Alligator mississippiensis: one gene and its partner. The main gene of each other region encodes a partner of the protein of the gene in region 2 in a complex. Links are inferred from orthologs where the notes say so. Each region holds a gene or a part of one and is shown on either strand. Other genes may lie near its edges.

What was found. Proteins that work in one complex are often made in the same cells at the same time.
Region 1: the proteins of EIF2B2 (region 2) and EIF2B1 are in contact, whole or in part, in a cryo-EM structure (PDB 7F64), measured with the Homo sapiens proteins. The link is inferred for Alligator mississippiensis from reciprocal best matches to the Homo sapiens genes EIF2B2 and EIF2B1. Residues at the interface, in NP_055054.1 of Homo sapiens: Glu107, Ser108, Leu109, His110, Leu112, Leu113, Thr114, Ser115, Asn242, Phe278, Asn280, Glu281, Glu282, Ser334, Tyr337, Arg338; in NP_001405.1 of Homo sapiens: Leu71, Arg74, Phe75, Leu78, Arg96, Leu99, Phe100, Arg103, Lys110, Thr117, Phe118, Lys120, Ser232, Phe235, Leu283, Asp287, Leu288, Val290, Thr292, Ser294, Ala295, Asp298, Glu299, Leu300, Lys302, Leu303.

What each region holds. Positions count from the first base shown.
Region 1 is NC_081833.1:5,958,657-5,965,998, forward strand, and holds the start of EIF2B1 (translation initiation factor eIF-2B subunit alpha), read right to left. Parts: upstream 3,036-7,342; 5' UTR 2,977-3,035; coding exon 2,952-2,976; intron 2,881-2,951; coding exon 2,779-2,880; intron 2,555-2,778; coding exon 2,418-2,554; intron 2,344-2,417; coding exon 2,227-2,343; intron 1,404-2,226; coding exon 1,291-1,403; intron 106-1,290; coding exon 37-105; intron 1-36. Other genes in the region: GTF2H3 (general transcription factor IIH subunit 3), read left to right, coding at 3,130-3,282, 4,135-4,241, 4,849-5,012, 5,356-5,418, 5,749-5,778, 6,568-6,596, 6,686-6,760, 7,215-7,268.
Region 2 is NC_081825.1:261,220,640-261,227,675, reverse strand, and holds the start of EIF2B2 (translation initiation factor eIF-2B subunit beta), read right to left. Parts: upstream 3,068-7,036; 5' UTR 3,003-3,067; coding exon 2,840-3,002; intron 2,367-2,839; coding exon 2,246-2,366; intron 1,576-2,245; coding exon 1,427-1,575; intron 233-1,426; coding exon 69-232; intron 1-68. UniProt on the Homo sapiens protein: Acts as a component of the translation initiation factor 2B (eIF2B) complex, which catalyzes the exchange of GDP for GTP on eukaryotic initiation factor 2 (eIF2) gamma subunit.

The sequences.
Region 1 (7,342 bases), on a different chromosome or scaffold from region 2:
TTTCCTAATATCTATGAAGGTAATGAATAAGCTTACCCTACAGCAGCATCCAGAATCACGGTAACAGGGATGTTCAACTTGCTGAGTGCCTTTGCCATTTTTTGCCTATGAAAATAATGTTTATGAAGTTGAAAAGGCTTTCTTGGAAGACAGTGCTGGTGAAATACAATTAATATAGTTGAAGTACTATATGAAAGACTGAAATCTAACTGTGGGTCTCTACCTTCCCACATCCTCCTTCCTCTGTACATGCAATCATTCTGCTTTAAAGAAGTAAGTTGTGTGATAATACACAACAGGTGAGAACCAAAAAGGGAATTAGTTGACTGTAAGGGAGATAATAAATAGACCATATACAGAGTAAGGTGCAAGATTCCTCACTAATCATTCAGCTTAAACAGCTGTAGGCATCACACATAAGTTGCACACAATTTAAGTCAGGGGTGTCAAACATGCAGCCTACAGCAGGTAGAATTGGTCTGCAATAGGAGCTGGACCTGATGTCATGGGATTTACACAGGGGTCACTCTGGGGCATAAGCTGTATGCAGCACCTGCATCAGAACAACCCTGTGCACTGGCTCTGGGACCAGTCCAGATGGGGCAGCGCTGGAGTCAGTATGCAGGGCTGGCCCTCTGTGCCATGTGGTGTGCCTATGGACCAGGTATAGCCTGTGCACCATGTGCCAGCCCTGCTCTGGGGCTCGTGCTGCTTGTGGTGTGCAGGCTGAACCCAGTGCTGTAAGCACTGCCTGTTGCAGAGGAGGCTGGCACAGAGTATGCACCATATGCATTACTCCACTGGACAGTTCTCCACGCTCGCTGAAGGATGCACAAATGGCCTGGGGCCTGACCCCAACTAGCCCTGGAGCCAGCACTTGGGGCTGGTCTGGTGGGGTGCCACATGCAGCTGAATACTTTATGATGCTGATGGTTACAAGAATCACTGCTTCAGGTTTTTCTGGTTTTTTTTTAACTGACATCTTAAATTGACTGCACCACTGCAAGCAACCACCCAAGCCAGAAATCTGTTTGCATAGCAATGGTTAATTTTTAAAGTTCTGGTAAATTTTCTGCAAACATTAGTGATGTTGGAATTGCTTCTTGCAGTTCTTACTGAAGTGTGTTTATACATTTCCTCTCAAGGAGGACATAATGTTTTGTCAGAGCAGTTGTTGCCTTTTAGCAGCATTTAAAAAAAAGGGGAAAAGCTTCTTCCTGATAAAATGAGAACTGACCTTAAAACTAACTTCTTTTACTAATCAAGAAGAGAGTAGTGACAAGTACTTGCCCTGCTTGATCTGGCTGTGATTCTGTAACGTAAACTCTGAAACGCTTCTTTGACTCTGCAGCTGCTTCTAGCACTCTGAGGACCACTCTTGAATAGGCATGGGTTAATATTCGCTGTCAAAAGGAGAGATGGAGTTTCAGGAAAGCCTGGCTGTTAGGATTTCTTGTGCTACTTTACTATGCACAGGTATTTTAAAGCATTGGTTTCAGTTACAGGTTTCCCTTGCCAACCATGGTTTTAAGTATTCATGCTTAATATTCTATACACCATTTTGGCTACCACAGTATACAGTTCTGAGTCACCATGGTTTTCCGTGGCTGTGCATCAGCCTGCCACCTGCCATTTTTCCCATAAGCCTTTTGTCTTGCCAACCGCGGGAACTTTCAGGAACCTAACCCCAGCGGTTGGCAAGGGAAACCTGTACTTGAGGTGCCTACTGAGATTTTTATAAAAAGTGAGCATTTTACGAGTTAGAAATAGAGCTTAATGGTAGGTTTCCCAGAAGTGTTTTTACAGCGCACGGCACGTCAAGTCATTGCATAAACCTTGACTTTTTTTAACTGATGTCTTATTGCAAGCAACCACCCAAGAAACCCTGGCACTGAGAGGGACCGAGAAGTCACCGCTTCCAATGCTTGAATGAGACGATCTGGTTGTCAGCATCAGGCCAGAAGTTCAACCTCAGTTTGCGCAGAAACAAAGGTGGAGGGAGAGGACAGAGAAAGGGAGTCTTAGGAAACACAGGAAGATCTGAACTTGTGATGCAAACAAAAATACGATGATCAGGAAACTTTATTTCTCCTTACTTGAGAGAGCCCACATCAAATCATGCGATCACCCTGAACACAAGGGAGTAAGATTTGGTCACCCTCCCCTTCTGCCTCCTGCCCAAACAGCGGAGCCCCAGAACCGGTGCAGCGCCCGCGTTGCACTTACAGCACCGTCTTTGATGAACGGGTGGCAGAGCTTCGCGATTTTGTTTCTGGAAAGAGAGATTCTCCTGAGGAAGATCTCCCCTCGCTCGATCATGATCTCTTTGCACTTGGAGTAGTCCTGCAAAAAGCAGCGAGCATGGCGAGTGAGGGTTGGGAATCCCTTCCGCCGCGCCGGCGGCCGCGGGCTCTTACCGTGTACTCCAGCGAGGTGAGGCTGATGAACCGGAGGAAGAGCTCTCCCCCAGAGGAGACGGCCACTGAGGAGTCGACGCCTGAGAGCATTTCGATGGCGTTTTTGAGGTTTGCGCGGAAGCCCTGCATGGTCTCCTCTGAGAGAGGGAGAGAGGTGCGGTTTGGGCATCGCGGCGAGGGCACCGGCTGGCGCCCCGACGGCTCTGCCCCGCGCGCGCAGCCCTCCTCGGGGACATCACAGCTCCCCCCACCCACCCACCCACCCACCGCAGACCGATCCTGCACAACTGCACACGGTTCTCCTGCTCGAGAGCAGCTAGCACCGGCGCGGATACGCCCGGGGCGGGAGGGGGGCAGCCACCTGTGTCTCTCTTGAGGAACTCGAGCAGGGCGCGGATGGCGGCCACGGCCGAGGCCAGGTCCGGGTCATCCCTCGTCTGCGCCTTGAAGGCCTCGATCAGCGCTGCAAGGCAAAGGCGGGGTTCAGCGGCCTCCCGGGTCCCGCTCTCCCCCAGCCCCGCCGCGCCCCGCTACCTGCTCGGTCCATGGCTCCGCGCATCCCCTTGTGACACCAGGAGGGCGCCGGAAGTAGCGGGGGACGGTCATTGCGCGGCGCCGGAAGTGGCGGGCGGTGGGCGTCATCGCGCGGCGCCGGAAGTGGTGGTGGTGGTGGTGGTGGCGGCGGCGGTGGGGGGCGGGCGTGCCGGGCAGGATGAGCTTGGCCGGGGCGTGCCCCGTCCCCCGCGGCGCGGCCGTGCCCGGCCTCACGCCCGTTGCCTTCTCAGAGGACGAGCTGAGCCTGCTCGTGGCGGTCGTGGACGCCAACCCCATCTGGTGGGGGCAGAAGGCGCAGGGAGGCGGCGAGGTGAGAGGCAGCCCCCCGGGGGACGCGGCTGCGCCCTCAGCTCCTGCCCTCGCGTGTGCGGGCCCCAGGGCGCCCGTCGTGGGCTCCCGGCTGCGGAACGCTCCTTGGGTGGGTGGCTCGCTCGCAGCTGCAGTGCGGGGAGGTGGCCCCGGGGTCCGGCACCCCTTACCGGGACATCCCGTCTCAACAGGAATGGCGGTGTGCGCTGAAAGCGGGGCCGACAGCCTCTCCCCGCCTGCGGTCCAGTCGCTTATTCCACCCTTTACCATCCGCCCGTTAGTCGGGTGCTGCGGTTTGCTGCCTTCGGCCCCGGTTGTCAGGAGCGTGGAGCGCTCGAGCGTGTGCTTGGAGTCGCCAAAAGCTGCAGGGGCTCGGCACGGCTGAAGCGAGGCCGTGCTGTTCTTGGGTCGGGCGCCCCGGTCGCGTTAGGGGATGCACGGGTGTTTGAAACTCTGCTCGACTCATCTCTGTTGAACAGAGGAGACTTGAACAGAGATTCAAACACACATTCGTGCATCCCCTTACGCGACCGCGGCTCTCCTCTCCTCCCAGAGTTATTGTGAGCGAATAACTGATCTCTCTCGCTGTTTTTTGAAGATTTTGAGCCCTATCCACGTATGGTTCTAGTGCTACATATTTCTGGAGCGTCACTGATGCTTTCTGTCCTTCAGAGGGAATTTGCTGCCTCCTTTCAGCTTCTCACCTTTGTGAATATCGAACTCTGAGGAAGGCATTACTTTGAGGGAGTGCTTTGTTTAGCGTGTTTTTGTTTCAGATGGTGATGGTGCTAAACCACGTGTTTTCCTCGCTCCTTCACGCATTGCGCCTTGTCTTTTTCTGTTTTCCCAACAGTTTACGTTGTCAAAATGCCTGGATGCAGTGATGGTGATGGGGAATTCGCACTTGTTCATGAATCGCAACAACAGACTTGCTGTGATTGCAAGCCATACACAAGAAAGGTACGGTAACTTTTATGAATAGCATCACTACTGTTATAATTTCCCACCCACGTCTCTTGCCTGAATTTCTTGCTCGGTGTGTTGCAAAGAATAATTGGCATCAGATTTAAATATATAATGTTTAATTTAAATTTAGACCTATTTTAAATAGGCTTAAATACCCTATTAAAATGAGTGAAAACAGACAGGGAAGGGATTTGGGGACTAATACAGAAAAACAAGTGGAAAAACAGTATAGGTTTTTAAGGCTTTGGAGAAGTGGGGATTGCTGCACTAAAGGAACAAAAGGAGGTTGTTTTCCTGTCTGACCTTTCCATTCAAAGCTACTACTACTTTCTGATCTAAGAATAAGAAACGGGAGGTTGATCCCTGCATTCAGGTAGTGTCTGAAGACTAGTTCTCCTCAGAGTGTCTCTCAGAGAGCCTTTCCACCAGGACATCCTTACACTGCGTAGAGCTTTAAAAAGACTCCTTACTCCATGGTGACCATTGCTTAGAATGAAATGTCACCTTTGACTTTCACTTTCTATGAGCGGCTCAATTTGTGGTTGTAACTCAGTTGTTATTAAAGTAACAGGCAAATACTGTGTTGCTGGTTCTCTTTCAGTCGTTTCTTATACCCTGGAAAGCGCTGGGCATTTGCAGATCTCTTTGGAGATGGTGGCAGCTGTGTAGAATCTAATTGCGCTGGCAGCAAGGATGGAAAATACGAATTATTAACTGCAATAAATGAAACAATTGCAGAGGAGATTAAAGACCTCATGACAAAAAGTAAGATGATCTTCTGTTAAAGAATGTAGTGGTTTCTGTAGCATGCTTAGTTTTTAGTGCCATCAGATGAGGGGAAGTATTATTTTGAAATGTTATATGCAAAGGAAATGCTTCAGGAGATTATACTATATGATAGACTCTCCTTTGCTTCTGTCTTCTGAAGCTTATTCTCCCCTTTCATTATGAGAATGTGCTTAAGGCCAATGAGACGCTGAGAAGTTCAGCACTTTTAGAGCCAGCCTTTAATGTTTTGTCCAGGAAAAATTGATCGAATGAACTGTATGGCATTAGATAAGGGAATGACTTTATTCAATAACCAGTTCTGTGCATTTTTATATTACAGCTGACGTGAAGGGCCAACAAACAGAAACTTTATTGGCAGGATCAATTGCCAAAGCACTTTGTTGTATCCTTCCCATAACTTCCCATTTAGAATATCTTTCTCTTTAAAAAAATAAATACATGCGAAAATCTTTCTTGTGCTGGACCCATATTGCTACCAGAAACCTTGCACTCTCTTGGTAGTAGTCTTAACCCCAGTATGTTTTTGTTTTCAGTTCTGACTTCTGAATATCATAGCTTGAGAGCTGAACTTCTGGTAAAGTTGTGCATGTTGGTTAAACTGTTTATTGCAGGTATCATATTTCCTCTCTTTTGTTGTTTTAAACGACTTATACATCTGTTTCTCAAGTGTTCCTAGAATAAAATGTTATTTCCTGAATAAAAGCTAATACAGATATTCACAGGCTGACCAAGGAGGTAAAAGGTACTTTTTTCTGTTGTTTGCATATTTTTCTGAGTGTTAGAATTAAGAGGAGGAAAAAATGCAGAGCTTTTCTTAGCTGGCTATAGTGGAGAAGTAAGGGTTTGTCCCAATCTTTTACAGGTGTACAAATTGAATTTTGACTGCAGATTGGTAGACGAGGAAAGAACATGCAAGAATTGTATGGCTTTAGCAAACATGTTAGAACTTTAAAACCAAGCACAGAAGGTCAGCTCTAAGGAGAGGGAAATCTTTCCACATGTAGAGCAAAACTTTGAATTCGGCAGTTACAAAGTACTACACTACCGTCTACCCTTCAGATTCAAGTTTTATACTCAACAGTTTCAAAAATGAATTTGGATACTGCTGCTTGTATTCTGTGGCTTGATTATGTAAACCAGTCTTAAAGTAAACTCTCTATTTAGCTTTACAGAGAAGTGGTGTAAAGTACCATCAGAACAGCTTTAAAAACCTGTGATCCAGTCTCTGTTTGACCGAGTAAACTGACAGTGAACCACACTGAAATTGTCTTTGTTCTTCATCATCCAGTTGCTTTTTAGGAATGAATGTGACAGTATCCACTTTCACAGCAACTCTGAATTTATTCTGGTGACTTCTGCTAGAGGTTTAGCTTCATCTTCTCATATTTGGTCTTAGTATGACTAAAAACAGTCTCTTGCTTTCATTCAGGTGTTAAACTAAAATGTAGAATTAGGAGGACAGAATACTGGTGGTTAATCGCATACTTATGGGATACTAATGCATGTTTTTTTTTATGTCTCCAATATGTAGCCAACCAAGAAATAAAATCAAGAATTTTGGTAAGAACTTTTGCCTTCAGTTGTCTTAAACGGCTTTAAAATCCAGTAGTCTTGTCTGTGCAATAATGGTTGTTGTTTGCTTTATTCAGGTTATAAAAGCTGCAGAAGACAGTGCATTGCAGTATATGAATTTCATGAATGTGATCTTTGCAGCACAGAAACAGGTGAAGTTACTGTTTTATCAGGTGGTTAACTATTTGGGTATTTTTTTCAATATCAACACACTCAAACATAAAAAGATTGTCACTGTTGCATTATGTGCTTCTAGTTTATGGGATCTTTTGGGAGAGGTGAGCATCTTCACCCTCAGGGAGAAAGTGTTTGAGCTAAATGTAGGTGCATGTCATTGCACTATAACACAAAAAGGCTACCAGGTCTGCCCAAGATTGCTACTGAGGTCCAGACCCCACTTTCCTACATCTTATATATGTGGTACGTTGGATAAGCTTCAGCCATCAGTCCTTGCCTAGCCATTTGGTGGGGAGGAAGGCTGGAACATGCAATACACACTAGAGTTCAAGAGCTTCAATTTGGGTGTAAACTCAGGGCAGTAATTCTACTGGAGGGTTATTTTTTGTGCTGCTGTAATTGTGATTCTTTTAATCTTTTTGATTGCAGAATATTTTGATTGATGCCTGTGTTTTGGAGAACGATTCGGGGCTCCTACAGCAGGTACCATGTACATATTTGTATTGCTTATTGACTATTTTCAAGTCTTGGATGAAAAACAAAAAATCAGTATACTA
Region 2 (7,036 bases):
GAGGCAGAGCTCTGTGGAAACACTGCCCAGCCCAGCTGAGCTGAGGGGATTAGCAAGCAGGGTCTTACCTGGCAGAAGGGTGCACACTCCGCCACAATCACTTGGAATTTCCGCTTGCGCGCTGCCTCTTTCAAGAAGGCTTCCACGGTGTGAGAGTAGCCAATGGTCATGATCACCTCATTGGAGTGGATGTGCTCCAATGCCTGCATTGCAATGTTCTCCGTTGTGCCCTCTGCAAAGGAAGGAAGCCAGCAGGAAGAGGAATGTCAGGACCATTAACTGCCATGCTGAAACCAGCACCAGACCAATGCCAACAGGAAAAAAGGACACAAGCCCACAGCCACTTAAGTATGCCCTGAATCATCGCCACATGAGTAAAAACCCCCACACATTTTAGAGCTTGGGTCTGACAGCACAGCATCCTTTCATCTACCATCCCTTGAGGAGAAGGAACAGTGTCTCTTGCCCCAACAGGGGCTCCTGGTTACCTAATTCGGCAATTGCGCTATCCCCAAGCCAGGCTCTACATCACATCACCCTTAGTTCAGGCAGCAACACTGGCCTTTGTGCAGCAAGAACTGCTCAACTTCCTGTGGCCTTCATCTAGAACCCAGGCAGATCCTTGTTACATGCCCTTGAAGCAAAATGGAGACAAAGCACCCTGACTTTCACAGGCCCTCTGCCTACTCAGGGAAATGGGATGTGTTGAAAAGTCTCATAACTAGGGGAGTGAAAAGGATAGCACCAGCTCCAGCATCAGTCCCAGCCTAAATGGCTGCCCAGTCCACAAGCTGCCTCCTGGTAGCAAAGGGAGATTTGTGAGGCAATCACAGCCTGCCAGCACTAAGAGGGGAGACCAGGCAGTATGGCTGGCCCCAGCAGTGATGACCTGTGAATAAAGACAACGTGATGGGCAGAGCAGGGTCTGAGAGGCTCCTAGGAAGTGGGTGCTTTGGAGGCAATCCACTGCAGCAACTCCTCTTGGCTGTCTCCAGAGCTGCATGCTTGGCTGCAGGGACCATCCCTACACAGTGCAATAGCAAGGGAAGGAGCATAGTTCATTCAGTCTCTGTGAGGCCATGCTGTCCTGAGCACAGCAGAACTCAACCTCAGGCACTACATGCAGGCAAGATTTTATGTTCCTGCAGACAGGGTTTTGCTCAGATCTTCCCATGGGCACAGGTGGGAAGAATCTCACCTGTCAACACCTCACAGGTCCCTCACTGTTCCACTCTTTCCTTAGGACTAGATGTGCGCAGATTCTAGGACACACCTCACCTGCAAGACAGAGCCTCACAGCTCCCCGCAGTGCCCACGCGAGCTGGGAACTGGGTCTCCCCCTACTTCTCCTTCCCTTCCCCGTCATCCCATGAGCAAGCCACTCCAGTCCCATCCTGGAATGGGAAAGTCCTTCTGCATTGCATACCCAGCTCTATCAGCAGCTCATTGATAGCTTCAATCACGTTAGCCCTGAGTGGGGCGAAGGGGGTGTTGAAGTCCTCACTGAGTCCCCCAGAGGTCAGAAGCTTGTGCAAAGATTCCTGCTGGTCACTCTCCTCACTGCGCCCACGGAGCCTGCAGAGAGAACATGGCCATAAGACTAGGATGGGAGCAGGACAAACCAACTAACCTGACAAAAACTTTCAGGAGAAGCTGATTTGAACCATGCTGTCCCCATAGGACCAAGAACCAGCAAGCCTGATTACTGGGAGCATTGAAGAAGGGAGCTGCACCCACTCTCTCACACAGCTCCCCAACTGCACAGTCACCTGAGACTTTGCCAATAAGCCATACCCTCTGAAAGCTCAGTGAGCCAGCTCCGACAGCTGCAGCAGGCACAGGGAAGGGCCTTGCGCAAGGCTGCTGTGTCACCCAGAAAACTCCCCTGCATTTTACTAAGTGGGGAGAGAAGTGTCAGATCACAGCATTCAGGAGTTTGCACGGCAGCAACATCTACACTGAACAGAGCTTTGAGTGGAGATGTAGTCAGTGACTGGGGAACCATAGGGCTTGCTGGTGTTACCAATGGTCTCACAAGAGGAACTTGGTAGGTTCACCCTTAAAAGGAAAAGACTTTGGGAGGAGGGAGGGTGGAGATGTGCATCTTGTTTGGACACCTGAACGGGTCCTGCAAAAGCAGAAGGAAGAGAGGATGGTGCCCCTCAGGTCCACAGGACACTGTCAGCTCCTCTCCCAGGTTGACTATGGGGAAGATGCACAGGTGATGGGGGTGCAAGGACTTCACCTGCCATACTCCTCCCTAATGATCTTCAGCACTCGCCGCACCATGTTGCCCACCGTGGTCTCCGATGGCTGGGCTGCTGTCATCCTCTGGCCCTCCTTCCGAATGAGGCCCATCAGCTCCCCTGAAACGAGGGCACAGCTACGTGGTCACCAGGCCGCAGCCTCATGCAGCTCCACAGCTGCTGGCCCCAACACCAGCCTCCAGCTCACCCACCCTTGAAGCAGCTCTACAGCCACCAGGCCCAGCCCGTGCCAGGATCTCCAGCAAACCGATGGGGCAAGTGCTGAGAAAATAAAAGAAAGCCTTTGGCCCCGGACAGCAACGGAGTCAAAATGAGCAGGGTGCGCCAGCCTGCCGGGCTCCCGGACCCTGCGGGGCTGCAGCTGAGCAAGATACCTCGCACCGCCTCTGGCCAACTCCTACTGCATGTCTGCCTCGTGGGCTGGACGGGCAGTGCCGGGGCCGGATCCGGATCCGGCCCGTGAAGCGCTGCCGCCCGGCCCTGCCTTGGCTGCGAGAGAAGGGGGCAGGATCCCGCCCCGTCGGGGGGGAAAGGGCCTAGGCCCAAGAGAGGCGCCGGGCCGGGGCTCTCACCAGCTTTGCCCCAGCGGCCGCGGGCGATGATCTTGCGCAGCAGTCCCAGCGTCTGCCGTGCCGTCTCCTCGGAGCGTGGCCGCTGCCCGCCCCGCTTCAGCCGCGCCACGAAGGCCTCGATCTGTTCCGACAGCTCCAACTCCTTCTCGGCCGCGCCCGGCATCTTGGCAGCTGAGGCGGCGGAACCACGAAACCACGTCTGCTACCCCTACCCGGATCCTGCTGAGAACGGACCACTTCCGCTTCCGACCAGTCCCACCCTCCCATTGGCTGAGGAAGCCCCGGTCAGCCAATCCGGAGACCGTCTCTCGCGCCGGCGCGGGACGCTTGAGCGGGTTCGATGATGTGTCACGTTTCGAACTCTGGCTTAGCCCCGCCTACCCCGCCCCCCCGGTGTCCTCCAGCGGTGGCGGTGGCGGTGGCGCTGGCGCTGGGAGCGGCCCGTGCTCGGCGCTGCGGGTTCAGTCGCCGCCAGCGGGACCCGCCGGGCTGGGGGCTCGCGGGGGCGGGGGCAGCGCCCCGGCTCCGGCCGCGCCAGTTCTCAGGGCCTCCGTGCGGTTTCCCTCCCGCCCCCCGGCCACCCGCGGGAGCCAGCCGTGATCCCACGGCTCCTGGCTGCAGCGTCCGGGGGAGACATTCCGCGCTGCGGGCTGGCCGGGCTCTGCCCGTGCCCTCGTGGCAGCCCGATTTGTCCCTGGTTCCCTCGGGGCCGCGGAGGCGATGCCGCCTGGAGCCGCTTCCAGCCTGTCCGCCTGCGTCTGCCGGCTCGGAGTCCCAGGCTCCGGCTGCAATAACAAGGCATTTGCGCTCAGCACCCCCGCCCCTCCGCCCCGGTTGTTGTTTCAGCTGGGCCGGGGTGGGAGCAGCAGTGGGAAGAAAAATCTCCAGGGCAAACGGCCTGAGAAAGCCCAGCTGGTGGCTTCCCAGGGAGGACAAGCGGGGCCTCGGCATTAGCCGTTCCTGTCCCTCGGAGGGGTACGAGCTGCAGCCCCGTCCCCACACCCCAGCCCTTCATGTGGGCGCCTGCCTCCGGTTGTCTAGGGTGCGTTGCTGCAGCCTCCCACAGTGCTGAAGCAGCAGGTGAGAAATCGCTGCTCCTGCTTCCCAGGCAAGAAGTGCCTTGCCGAGGTCATGCTGGGCTTGAGCCAGCACCTTCACCCCACGGTTTTGGCAGCCTGTTTCTACAGAGCTCTTGCTAGGTGGCTGGAAGGGGCCACCCAGCGTGATGCTGGCAGCAGGTAGCTGTGGGTGGCTGCAGCCAGGAGGCACTGTTCCCATTGTACTTGCCCTGCAGCTGGGAGCGCCTCCCAGGCTGCTCCATGGTGGAACAAAGGGGACGAAGCAGGGATTCCCACTTAGTCCTGTTGGAAAGTGTGGAGTCCGCCCTTGTGAGGGAAATGGTGAGTGCTGGCAGGTTTGAGGAATGGAATGGGTTGGCCTCTGGCAGAGACCCTGCATGTACCCTAGGCTGCCCTGACCACTGAGGCCCACAAGGCTCCATCCCAAAAGGCATCCTAGTGGCAGATGCAGATAAATGAACCTGGATCACATGAGCAGGCAGCTGGGTCTGGGCAGCTAGTGGAAGAGACGTGGCTGCCCTCTCACGAGCGGATCCCACCTGCTGTCGTGTCCTGGGCCTTGAGTTGCCTCTTGTTGGGGAAATTCCCCTTCTGCAATGAGGTGCCACATGTGGAGTGTGAGATGGGGCGTGAGAGGGAAAAATTATTTTGCCCTAAGTAAGTGAAGCAGCTGGTTGTAGAGAAGGCAGTTGCATCTATAGGGAGAGTATGTGGTTTGTGCCATGCCACAGGTGTTTGTACCATGGGGGGCTGGGCATGTGGGGAGCAGCAGGAAGAGTCTGTACAAGGAGACGGAGAGTGTGACTGAGCTGGAGCCTGTGCTGGGAGGGAAGGGGAGGTTTGCGCGGCACAGCAGCAGGAGTCTGGTGTGGGGCACATAGCATTTACTTTGGACAGTGCAATATTGTAGAAGCTTAGAGCCAAAGCAAATGGGTGGGGAAAGGAGCAGCTCCTGGCAGCTTTGCTGTCCTTGCTGGTGAAGCCAAAACCTACCCAGCATAAGACAGGAATGTTACTCCTTTGTTTCCAGTTGTGGGAGTGTGGAGTCCACATCTCGGGCAGTCGCAGCAGCACAGTTCTCATCCCAACGCCATTCCACTCCCAGGCCCCACCTCTGGTCATTAGCTTATGAAAACCAAACCATGTGGGTCTGTGCTAGAAGCATCCAGGAAACGCTGGCCAGGGACCCCCTGGATGTTCATTACTTCCAATTCACGCTTCTCTGGTCCCATTATGATTTGTTTCCCTACCAGCTTCCTACACAGTGTCTGGGGCTAGGGCAAATGACACCAAGGCATAGGGTGGAGCAGAGCTTGAGAGGCTGTGTAACAGGATGATTAATCACTTAGAGCATCCAGACTTGCTACTTTTCACTGTCTAACAGCCCCCCCCCCCCCCTCCCACAGAGCTTCTGAGGGCCTAGAAGTCATCCTTGAAGGGAAAGGGGGAACACTGAGATGCCCAGAAGAACAGGCCTTTGAGCCAGGAATCTGTGCTGGAGTAGACTGGCCTGGCCACCCTAGCTTGGGCAGTATACAGGGTTCCACACTCAGGTCAGGCAATGGGGTGGAGGGAAGCACTGGCCTCCCAATGGGTTTTTTCTCTGGGTGGGGATTTGGGGCCTCATTCCAGAAGCACCTGGAGTCTCTGCAGGCACCCCAGATACTCCATGCTGCTGTGACTGAGCCTGGCTTGACAACCTCCTTCATATGCCTATAGAGAGTACACCCCCTCCCCCCCAATGCAGAGCCCCTCCCTCACCTCTCTCCCCACCCAAGGGAGTCCTGAGGTAGACCCCACCTTTTGCAGTAGGAGCCATGTATGCTGGGAAAAGCTGTATGGCCTGCCTGCAGCCTCAATTGGCTCAGGGAATTGCTTTGACTGGTTGGTGCATGCATGTATGTGCATGCACATGTGTATGCATACACCTGAGCATTTAGGCTTGGCTGGGTCTGTGCGGGGGTGCCAGGCTGGTTCTAGGTGAGGGCTTGGGATCCTCTTTGGCCCCCTGCCTACAAGCAATCACTTTCATTAATAAAATGGGGTTAAATTAAAGTCTTTGTTCTACCTGGCACTTGGCTTAGGCTGTATCAGCTTTTTGCCCAGAGATGAGCAAGGGCATTTTGTGTCCAAAAGCTTGTCTAACATCTCTCCCAGCTATAGTATTGCTCATAAATCCTGTTTGTCCAGTATTCCCTGAGCCATCACAGCTACAGGAACCCAACAACCTTGCCTCAGTGTCATCTATGGCTGCCCCAAGCACTTGTGAAATGCTAATTATACAGGTGAAAATAGTTACACGTGCCAGCAGCCATGCTGAGCCCCTGTGCATCATGCCAAATGCATCTGTTTGCTGCTGGTGCCTGTTTCCTGTAGCTGTCTGTGTCCTCTTGTCTTACACTTAACTTCGAAGCTCCCTGGAGGGGATCATCTTTCTGGTCTGTGTTTGTACAGTGCTAGTGCAATGGGCCCCTAGACGACGCTGCAATCCCATCCATGAATATCAACGCCAGGTGTGGGGCTGGACTGAGCCAGGCCTGCTGCGTCCAGGCATGAGCGAATGTCTCCAAGCGCCTGTCTCTGCCCATGTGTGTCAGCACCTGTCTTGGTTTCTTTGCATGCCTGTCTGGGCCTGCCTGGCTCTGCAGACTCTGTGTGCCGATCAGTGCTGATGTGCATCTGTGAACGCAGGCTGGGCCCTGAGCACATGGTAATGTGGTCAAAGAGCCTAGCTTTGGTGCTTTCCTCTGTTTGTTTAGTTTTCTCTGTACTAAACAGTGCAGCCCTAGGGATTAGGGAACAGGGAGCCAGAGGAAAAGAAACCGGACTCTGAGGTTATGACCTCCTGGTGGATGCTGTGGTGTTTACATTCCTCTGCCTCAGTCTCACAACTACTACAGGGCAGCAGCTTCTCAGAGTCTTGCTGGGGGAGGCTGGGTCAGCAGTAGTTGGGAGCTCCCTCACCAGCAGATGCTTCTGTCTTCTTCCCCTGCTGGAAACTCCCTCTCAACCAGTGATCCTACCGTCTCTGCACAGTCCCTCCTGCTGGGAGCTTTCCCCCTGGGTTCCTTACAGACCCTCCAGAGCCAAGAGGTTTGGTGTTGCCTGCTGTTAGCCA